3 linked regions of the Saccharomyces cerevisiae S288C genome follow. Changing the gene in region 1 together with any one later gene gives a genetic interaction. Each region holds a gene or a part of one and is shown in the gene's direction. Other genes may lie near its edges.

Region 1 (4,147 bases):
TACCTACTTAAAGAAGAAGAACTCTCAATGGGAGATAACATCTAAAGACGAACTAAGGACTACTAAATCGGATTTTGACTTCGTTATTGTTGCGTCTGGTCACTACAGTGTCCCTAAACTACCAACTAATATCGCAGGTCTCGATCTATGGTTCGACAATAAGGGCGCCTTTCATTCTAAGGATTTCAAAAACTGCGAGTTTGCCCGTGAAAAAGTCGTTATTGTGGTGGGAAACGGCAGTTCCGGCCAAGATATTGCCAACCAACTAACTACCGTTGCAAAGAAAGTATATAATAGTATAAAAGAGCCTGCGAGCAATCAACTGAAGGCCAAGTTAATCGAGACTGTCCAAACAATAGACAGTGCCGATTGGAAAAATCGTTCAGTTACTTTATCTGATGGAAGAGTACTTCAGAATATAGACTACATTATTTTCGCCACAGGCTATTATTACAGCTTTCCATTTATAGAGCCCTCCGTTAGACTGGAAGTGCTAGGTGAGGGTGTTACTGGCGACAAGCACTCGTCTGTCAATCTGCACAATTTGTGGGAGCACATGATCTATGTAAAAGATCCTACGCTGTCCTTTATCTTGACCCCGCAGTTGGTCATCCCGTTCCCGTTGTCGGAACTACAGGCGGCTATTATGGTCGAAGTATTCTGTAAAAGCTTACCGATAACTACAACTTTCGACTCTAATGCCTGCGGAACGCACAACTTCCCAAAGGGAAAGGACCTGGAATACTATGCAGAACTACAGGAACTACTGAATAGCATTCCACGTAGGGTCGGTCATTTCGAACCAGTTGTATGGGATGATAGACTGATCGATCTAAGAAACAGTAGTTATACAGACAAAGAAGAAAGAAATGTGCTTCTAGCGGAACACGCACAAGCCCTAAAGAAAAAAAAAGCACCATACTTCCTTCCGGCGCCACATACTTAACGTAAAAAGGAATGTACTTGTATAGAAAAAACACATATTGTGCCGCTTAATATTTCGTTTCCCTCATGTATATACCTTATCGCTGTTAAAATAAGAAATCTTCACTTCTGCTATCTTTTTTTTTCAAACATTGATTAATAATCCGGCCGTCCGCAGATTGCTTACGCAGAATATACCGTACCGCCACCGTAAAATTAACGAATACTTAAATTTCCGCCTCTTCCGTTTCGGCAATAGCGAACCTTAATGTAAGTTTTTAAAAGGCAGCGCCAAAAATTGCTCTGAAAGGCCTGCAGTGCTTCGCGGCTACGCAGTTCCCATGTAAAAAAAAAAGAAAACTTTCTTTTTGAATCTGGAAAATCCGCACAGGCGCGCCAGCATAAACCTCAGTATCCTGCAAAGGCCATCCTTTTAAAGATCTTAACAACGTATGAATCTGAGGCAGAGAGAAATTAAGCGATAAACGTTCCTTTTAGACTTTCACTTTCTTGGCCGTCATTTAAAAAAAAATTATCTAATAATCTCTAATTTTAAGTTGAAATCACGCTAACATATGACTATGACTATTAACCTTTTTATGTGGAAAAAAAAGGAAGAATATGTTGTAAACGTATTTTAGCCTTGTTCCCGGAACTTTAATCACTCTGGCAACTTTTTAAGTAGTCTGTCTTTTTCTCGGTCGTATATTCCTCAAAATTCAAGAGGAAAGAGGAAGTGAAGAAGAAAGCCTAGAAAAAAAAAATAGGCATTAACACAAAAACGCACCTAAGGGACTGAGGAAAATCAAAAAAATGATAATTGCAGTTAGTAAATCTTCATAATCGACGCCCACTTATTCTTTCTTTATAGTACCGGGTAGGCGGGTAATTCATACGTAGCTGCTGCGGGAGAACTACTATGTATCATTCCCTGTTTATTTGTATGAATTATTATTTAATACGTACATTCTTGTAAGCCCTTCTTCAACAAAACAAACAAATAAAGCGAGAAAAAAGGGAACCACGAATTAAGATAATTAATCAAACAATAGATAGGAAAAGGAGATCGACGAGTAAGCGTAAGAATGATGGATATCAGCCCTACCTGTTATGGGTACATCGACGACGAGCAAGATCTAGCCCTTGTTTTCCAGGGCGTATTCAATGGAAATTTGAGATGCATCGAACGGAGGCCATATGATGCAGAAAAGGTTGAATTAGTCAACCCCGGAAACATTTTTGTTTTCAACGAAGAGAAATCCGGCATCAAAAGATGGACAGATGGTTTTTCTTGGTCTCCTTCAAGAATTTCAGGCAAATTTCTCGTATATAGAGAGTATAATAGGCTGGGTTCCACGCACGATCTACCGCTGCATAATGTACCTGAGTATAATATCTTCGAGAGGGCTCATAGGAAGTATTTTTATACTGGACTACTGAAAAAAACATTTTCTCTAAAATTCAATATGGATCCCACCGACAGCACTAAGCTGGAAACATTTCATCTTATTGCGTACTATACGGAAAAGGATATTCATCAAGGAAGTTTGAGGAGACCTTCAGAAAATCCTTTCTTCCATAAATTTCGACCTTCACAGAAACTATTAGATGCTTTACAAAAAGTTGCTGTAGGAAATGGCAGATCTAACCCGTCTAAAAATAATGAGAGAGGCAGAACCAAAGCTCATAATTATAAAACGCGCAGGTCTTTATCATCTTCTCCGAGCTATTGTGATCTCTTGAGCAATTATAACAACCATCCTGGAAATATTCCAGTTAGGACCGCAGTTCAGTTACCTTTAACCACCTTCAATAACGCTCCTCGAGAAATGCACCAACAGCAGCACCGACAACAGCAACAATATCTCTTACCCATAGATGAACAGAATAAATTACCTCTCCCGTATATGCAGCACCAGCCACAACCAATTGGTGTTTACAATCCTAACTATCAGCCTGGATTGAGACGTACGGTCTCACAACCTATGATTTTCTGCAATACATACAATACTCTCCCGCAACAACCTACTGCAGCACCTTATGAACGGCGTGGCGTGTCGCCTTCAGTGATATACTCCTCCAATACATTGAGCCCAATACCATACCAAAATATCGATCCATACTCTTCGAGGTCGGGTCCTGAATGCAATCACTCTAAGGCGCCTATCGCCCCAACAATGATGCCCCCAGTACACCATATACTTGTGCATGATTACCGACAACCAAAACCAGTCACAGATTCTATTAATCCTCCAAATGTAAACATAACCACCTCCACAACCAACAAGAACCTAGATGGCATTTATATTTTGCCAGCTCCTCGTATGAATCCCCCGGCTCAAACACAATACCAAATGATTCATGCGCCAGACAGCATGCAACATCCACCAACATTTAGTAAAAACAACACATCAAGCAATCCTAAATCCCACCAATACTCAAAGTAGAAGATCAGCATCCTTTCAATTGCTGAAAGGTTCACCTAAAGTACCGCTCATATTCCAAAAGGATTCTTCACTACATAGAAAGGGCAGCCAATTGTGTGTTTTTCAGAAAGGGTTTTAAAAAAACAGGAGGGTGCTTGTTCTTGTTGTTCCCTACCATCGATGGATTTCGAAAAACTATTTATAGGACCATCTGATTTTCACCTCCATCATTGTATCATATACTAACAAGCATATCCAAATTTGTAATTCTATCATGAAATTTCCAGAGAAAGAAACGCAAGGGAACTGAGAAATCAAACCTAAAAACGGTTCTTGGCATTGTTATGAAAAATGAATAAACCAGGGGGGCAAAACAATCGAGAACCCCAATCAAAACCATGTGAGATACCCACTTCGAAAGTTACTGATATTATAACTCTTGTGTCCTCTCTTCTAATACCTTACTTTCACCTTTCTCACGTAGTTAAAGTTGCAACAACACATTTTGTCCTCATCCAATTTCTTCTATAGAATATCCGTTTGCCTCCAGGAGTGAAGAAATGATAGCAGTAACACTGTGAAAGCGAGACTAAGAGAAACGACTTAAAGCTCGAAGACTTCTTGAGGATACGTTTATGTTTCTGTGGCTTCTTCTTCGCGGCGCGGTTCTCGCGTATAGGAATGTTCTAAGACAAGAAGGCATGAAGTTATGTTAACAGATTCTATATCTACTCGCTACGCATATATAAACGGATTCATCATTGAAACAATGGTACTTGTGGTAATGTGTACGACGA
Region 2 (3,211 bases), on another chromosome or scaffold:
TCCACACTCCTAGTATTCCCGGTAGTATTCTTTTCGCAACCTAAAATTTCACGTAGCAGAGAAAATCGGAGTCTTGAAAGTGTTAACCATAAAATTTCATTGATAAAATGATCTTCGAGGCTTTCTGCTATCCAAATCCACGTTTCTTTTTATTTATTTATTAAAAACCATAAAGTAAAAACTTTGTTAAGGCTTGGAAGCGACCGAGCGCAGACCGCTTGTGTCATCGATTACTCAGATAGGAAATCTTTTATTTATCACCCGCTGAAGCACGCAGCAACAACCGGTTGACCGACGCAATTCTTTGTTTACTTTTCCTTCTACTCATGATCTTCTGTTCCATTTGCCACCCGATCGAAGAAAAAATTTTACGGCCAGTTGCTTCTTGGGCGTAAGGCTCCGATCTTTACGAAGAAATCTTAATTTTTGCCTGAAAGCATGGCTTAAAAGCCGAAAAAGCAAAACTTAATGATTGACAGATCTTTTTTAGGAAATTTTTTGACGGTGAAAAACCCGGCTTCTAGAAAAAAAAACGATGGGAAAAAAGAACTGGAAAAAAAAAACTTTAAACTTTGCTTATGTCAAATTTAAATTTCAATTCGGAATTAACACCTGCCGCCCCCGTTTATTGTCCAGCGGGGAGTCTTTGTCGTACTTTCTTCTTTTCTTCTTCTTTCTTAATGAAGCACCTAGTTTAAGGATAAAAAAGATTATATCGCTTGTCTATGGCTTACGTAAACATTATTTCTTTGATATACTATTCCGTTAGAATGGAAGGGGGCCATATGATTCTGATTTTCTTGGCCTGGGGGGATGGAAATTTTCCTTTTAGAGCTGCCTGTACAAGACCGAGTGTTCGTTCCTCCTTTAGCATAGAAAATACGGTTATTAGATTATTGGGGCATTTGGCCTGCTTCCATCTTAACGCGAACAAATACTATTCAAGAACTTGTGCTACCTCTTGAAACCAAATGTTAAACTGTTCTGCCATATTTGAAAATAATTTCAAAGTTGTGGGAAAAATATTTTGCCATCATACGACAAACGTTTCTCTGGCTGTGACTGATAGTCGTGTAGGTCCTGTATTATCTTGCTGACAAACATCTTAAAAAGTCTTTTGGAAAAAGAAAAAAATAAACTTTCCTTCTTTTTTTTTTGGTTCCTGCGGCTCTTTCAAGGGGCTGCCAAACCTTATATTCTCCTCCTGTCATTTTAGAAGGAGAGGTAGCGGTCTTTTCTTTTTTTTCGTGCCTACACGCGCACATGACGATAAAACTGGCCCAGGCGAGATCAGATCAGCATTTGCACGTTGCATTTTACTTGTTTTCTTATTGGCAAAGAAAAAAAGCTCGGAACAAGCCACTAATACCCGATTCTATGCTTACAGAATAACCGATACTACTGGAAAGAAAAATTTTTCACATTAGTTCGCTGCATCTCCATGATCGTTTAATTATTTTATATTTAAGAGAAGCAAATCACTTCCTCCAATGTCATGATGGTCTTGGCAATTTTCCTCCCCTTGTTGCAAAAGTGTAAAATAGGTATCCACATCATTCATAAGAAAACTACTAATATCATTTTGCCTCCTATTTGCGGCCTTGCTCACAAATTCAGCGACTGCTGATAGAATTGATGACAAGGTGAGCCCTTCATTTGATCTAAGCAAAAGAGACGAAAGCGTTGCTATCAATGGTTGTCCAAATTTGGATTTCAACTGGCACATGAGCCAACAGAATATACTACATTATGATATGGATGTTACTTCCGTATCATGGGTCAAGGATAACACATACCAGATTACTATTCATGTCAAAGCCGTAAAAGATATCCCTTTGAAATATTTATGGTCTTTAAAGATTATTGGTGTCAACGGTCCCTCAAGCACCGTACAACTTTACGGCAAAAATGAGAAGACATACCTAATCAGTGATCCAACAGATTTTACATCCACTTTTCAGGTTTATGCTTACCCTTCTTCTGACGGTTGCACAGTTTGGATGCCAAATTTCCAAATCCAGTTCGAATATCTACAAGGTGATGCTGCTCAGTACTGGCAAACTTGGCAATGGGGGACAACCACCTTCGATTTATCGACAGGTTGTAACAATTATGACAATCAAGGCCACTCACAAACGGATTTCCCTGGATTTTATTGGACCTACCAGTGCAAGGGAAACAATGATGGCACTTGTACAAAAGCCTCGTCTTCATCCATTACTACTTCATCCATTACTACTTCATCCACTACTACTTCATCCACTACTACTTCATCCACTACTACTTCATCCTCTACTACTTCATCCTCTACTACTTCATCCTCTACTACTTCATCCTCTACTACTTCATCCTCTACTACTTCATCCTCTACTACTTCATCCTCTACTACTTCATCCTCTACTACTTCATCCTCTACTACTTCATCCTCTACTACTTCATCCTCTACTACTTCATCCTCTACGAAAACTTCCACTACTACGTCATCTACTGTGAAAAGCTCTTCCACTACATCCATTGATTTTACTACTTCCGTTGACTCACATACTTCATCAAGCGTAGCCGATATTTATCGTTCAAGAACATCTACTGATGTCACCACATTAGCAGCTTCAACTAGTCCTTTCAGCAGTTTCACTTCAAGTGACTCTAGTAGTTCAAGCGATGTAACCAGTTCAACCATTCAAACTACTTCTGTTGATCCAACCACTTAAGTAGTAAGTTCAAGTTCAGAAGACCCAACTAGTTCAAGCGCTGTGACTACTTCAGTTGACCCAACTACTTCAGTTGACCCAAATACTTCAGCTGATCCAACTACCTCGACCGTTCAAACTACTTCTGTTGATCCAACTACTTCAGTTGACCCAACTAGTTCTATAGTCAGTTCTACTTCAGTTGATCCAACTACTTCAGTTGACCCAACTACTTCAGCTGACCCAACTACCTCGACCGTTCAAACTACTTCAGCTGATCCAACTACTTCCGTAGTCAGTTCAAGTTCAGCTGATCTAAGTAGCTCTGTTATCAGTTCAAGTTCAGCAGACCCAACTAGTTCAAATGCTGTGACTACTTCAATTAACCCAACTACTCCAGCTGATTCAACTACTTCGGCCGTTCAAACTAGCCCAGCTGATCCAAGTAGCTCTGTTACCATTTCTACTTCCACAGACTCTACATCTTCAATTGAGTATACTACATCGGATGATCCACACGC
Region 3 (3,125 bases), on another chromosome or scaffold:
CAACTTCAAGGCCAGCCTCAAGCCCAAGCTCCCCAACCTTTAATCCAGCATAACGTGGAACAGAACGTTTTACCTCAAAAGAGATACATGGAAGGTGCAATCCACACTTTAGTAGATGCCGCCGTATCCAGTAGCACCCACACAGAGAATAACACAAAGTCTCCTCGTCAACCAACCCATGCCATTCCAACGCAAGCTCCCGCAACAGGAATAACGAACGCTGAACCACAGGTAAAGAAGCAAAAGTTGAACTCTCCAAATTCAAACATCAACAAATTAGTAAATACTGCTACTTCCATTGAAGAAAATGCAAAATCTGAGGTGAGCAACCAATCGCCAGCAGTAGTGGAGTCTAATACCAATAATACTTCACAAGAAGAAAAACCTGTAAAAGCAAACTCAATACCTTCAGTAATTGGCGCACAGGAACCTCCACAGGAAGCTAGTCCTGCTGAAGAAGCTACCAAAGCAGCTTCTGTTTCTCCTTCTACAAAACCGCTTAATACGGAACCAGAGTCATCTAGTGTCCAACCAACTGTATCATCAGAAAGTTCAACAACAAAAGCAAATGACCAAAGCACTGCTGAGACCATAGAACTTTCTACTGCTACTGTTCCTGCAGAAGCAAGCCCTGTAGAAGACGAAGTAAGACAGCATTCTAAAGAGGAAAACGGCACAACTGAAGCATCTGCACCTTCTACTGAAGAGGCGGAGCCAGCAGCTTCCAGAGATGCTGAAAAACAACAAGATGAAACCGCTGCTACAACGATAACTGTAATCAAACCTACTTTGGAAACAATGGAAACAGTGAAAGAGGAGGCCAAAATGCGTGAGGAAGAGCAAACATCTCAAGAAAAATCCCCACAGGAGAACACACTTCCAAGAGAAAATGTAGTAAGGCAAGTGGAAGAAGATGAAAACTACGACGACTAAAAAGTTTGCATTCAAAAAATTAATCTACTAATTTATAATCAACGAGAAATGTTGTGTAGCTCACAATTCATTCATTATGTTGTGGATACATATATAAATAAAGAAAAGGCTAAAAAAAAAGGTGGGTAACGTGAATTAGGTTATTTTTCATATATGCACATGTAAATATATGCGTATATAAATATATTATTATTTGTATCATTACATACTTAAAATCTATTATTGCTTAAAAGGTTTTCCCGATGAGCATATGTAATAATATTGGGAATTAAGGTGCATTTTCGTATCCTTCATTGTGTATCTACAATCTCTTCAAGAAATTCCCTTATTTGCTTTAAAACGGTTTCCCTTGTTGAATCCGATACCATTTCTAGAAAAAAAAATTCCACTGTTAGTAACGTTCTCTTTTCAATAAATTTAGTGATAAAATATTCACATACCTAATGCTTTGGGTTCTACGGTGGATAAAATTTGGGTAAAGTTCGTAGATTCATTTATGTTCATCTCTGATTTGGTCAAATCTTTGACTTTATCCACCCAACCTTCTTGAAGTAGTCTGGCTTTTAGTTCGTTTGAAATTCTAATAAATGTGACGGTGATCTGAATAGTCAGTAAAGTAGATTTTTTAAAAAAGACAACCCCTATAATATTTTATCATACAGTTCATAGTTTCCTGATTCTACAAGATATTGTTGTATTTGACTCTTTAATTGCGCAGTATCCATAGTCATTGGAGTGAAGGCCAGAATTGTTACTTCTGATTTTGTCGCATGTGTTGGTCAAGCCATGCCTATGGCAATTTTCATTTTTTATTTTTCATAATTCCTCATTTTGGTCTTCATGGAGGAAGAGGTCCGGCAAGCGAATACACTTCCGTAAGGGATGGCAAGTACGGCCGTTAGCGGTTTAATACAACGTCAGACAGCCTTCATATGAATCACGTATATATGCTTTTATGATTATTCTTTCGGCATTTTCCTTCCTTCTCATACTTAGATGTTTTTGAGAAACGTAAGAGTTATTTCCCTCAATTCAAGGAGACTATTTAGAACTATGAGCACCGTCAAGGGTAAACCAGAAGATGCTAAAATAATTGAAGCCCGTCACGTTAAAGAAACATCTGACTGCAAGTGGATCGGTTTACAAAAAATCATCTACAAAGATCCCAACGGGAAGGAAAGGGAATGGGATAGCGCAGTCCGCACCACTAGAAGTTCCGGTGGTGTAGACGGCATTGGTATCTTAACCATTCTAAAATACAAAGATGGAAAACCTGATGAAATTTTGCTACAAAAGCAGTTTCGCCCTCCCGTTGAGGGCGTATGCATTGAGATGCCAGCCGGTTTGATAGATGCGGGTGAAGATATTGACACTGCTGCCTTAAGAGAATTAAAAGAAGAGACTGGTTACAGTGGTAAAATAATTTCTAAAAGCCCAACAGTTTTTAACGATCCTGGTTTCACAAACACCAACCTCTGTCTGGTTACTGTCGAAGTTGATATGAGTTTACCTGAAAACCAAAAACCAGTTACTCAATTGGAAGATAATGAATTTATCGAATGCTTTAGCGTTGAGTTGCACAAGTTTCCTGATGAAATGGTTAAGTTGGATCAACAAGGCTACAAGTTGGATGCACGTGTTCAAAACGTAGCTCAAGGTATCCTCATGGCCAAGCAATACCACATCAAATAGATAGCGATAAGTAGTGTTTCTGTATGAAAAATAGGCGAGATGTTAATACCAAAATACAAAGTACCTTTTGCAACAAGATAGTGTCCCATTTATGAATAAGTACATTGAAAAAGAAGGACGTAATGAAAATAACATTCCGTAGGAAATTTGACAAGGCTATTTGCCATCTTAAGTAGTCAGCATTGAGGTATATTTTCCAAAGCGCGACGTTACGTGTTACCAAATTTTGAATCTAAACTAGCCCTTTTCTACTATTTCCACTGATCTACCTTACGATTCTGCAAAAAACTACCATTAATATCTGTTGAAATCAGTGGTAGTGCTCCTTGTATGTCATACATGGTTAGTGTTCCTTGATTTAAGTATTTGGCTACAGCTTGGACATTGCCGAAGGGCGGCAGAACTGTCTGATAATTGCTGGGATTCAAATTAACGATGAGGGCACAACATCACCTACAAGAAATATAAAAGAAGTAGTCCTTGAGGATATATTTATCAAC

Evidence for each region. Genes that interact genetically often act in the same process or in processes that back each other up.
Region 2: mutations in ROF1 (region 1) and BSC1 together harm fitness less than expected from each alone (positive genetic interaction), as found in Saccharomyces cerevisiae (one large-scale study listed by BioGRID).
Region 3: mutations in ROF1 (region 1) and YSA1 together harm fitness more than expected from each alone (negative genetic interaction), as found in Saccharomyces cerevisiae (one large-scale study listed by BioGRID).

The regions. Positions count from the first base shown.
Region 1 is NC_001140.6:454,582-458,728, forward strand, and holds ROF1 (Rof1p), read left to right. Parts: upstream 1-2,009; coding exon 2,010-3,371; downstream 3,372-4,147. Other genes in the region: FMO1 (N,N-dimethylaniline monooxygenase), read left to right, coding at 1-946.
Region 2 is NC_001136.10:384,101-387,311, reverse strand, and holds BSC1 (Bsc1p), read left to right. Parts: upstream 1-1,724; coding exon 1,725-2,711; downstream 2,712-3,211.
Region 3 is NC_001134.8:460,678-463,802, reverse strand, and holds YSA1 (ADP-ribose diphosphatase), read left to right. Parts: upstream 1-1,929; coding exon 1,930-2,625; downstream 2,626-3,125. Other genes in the region: transcription regulator CYC8, read left to right, coding at 1-933; SUS1 (Sus1p), read right to left, coding at 1,224-1,303, 1,374-1,513, 1,594-1,664.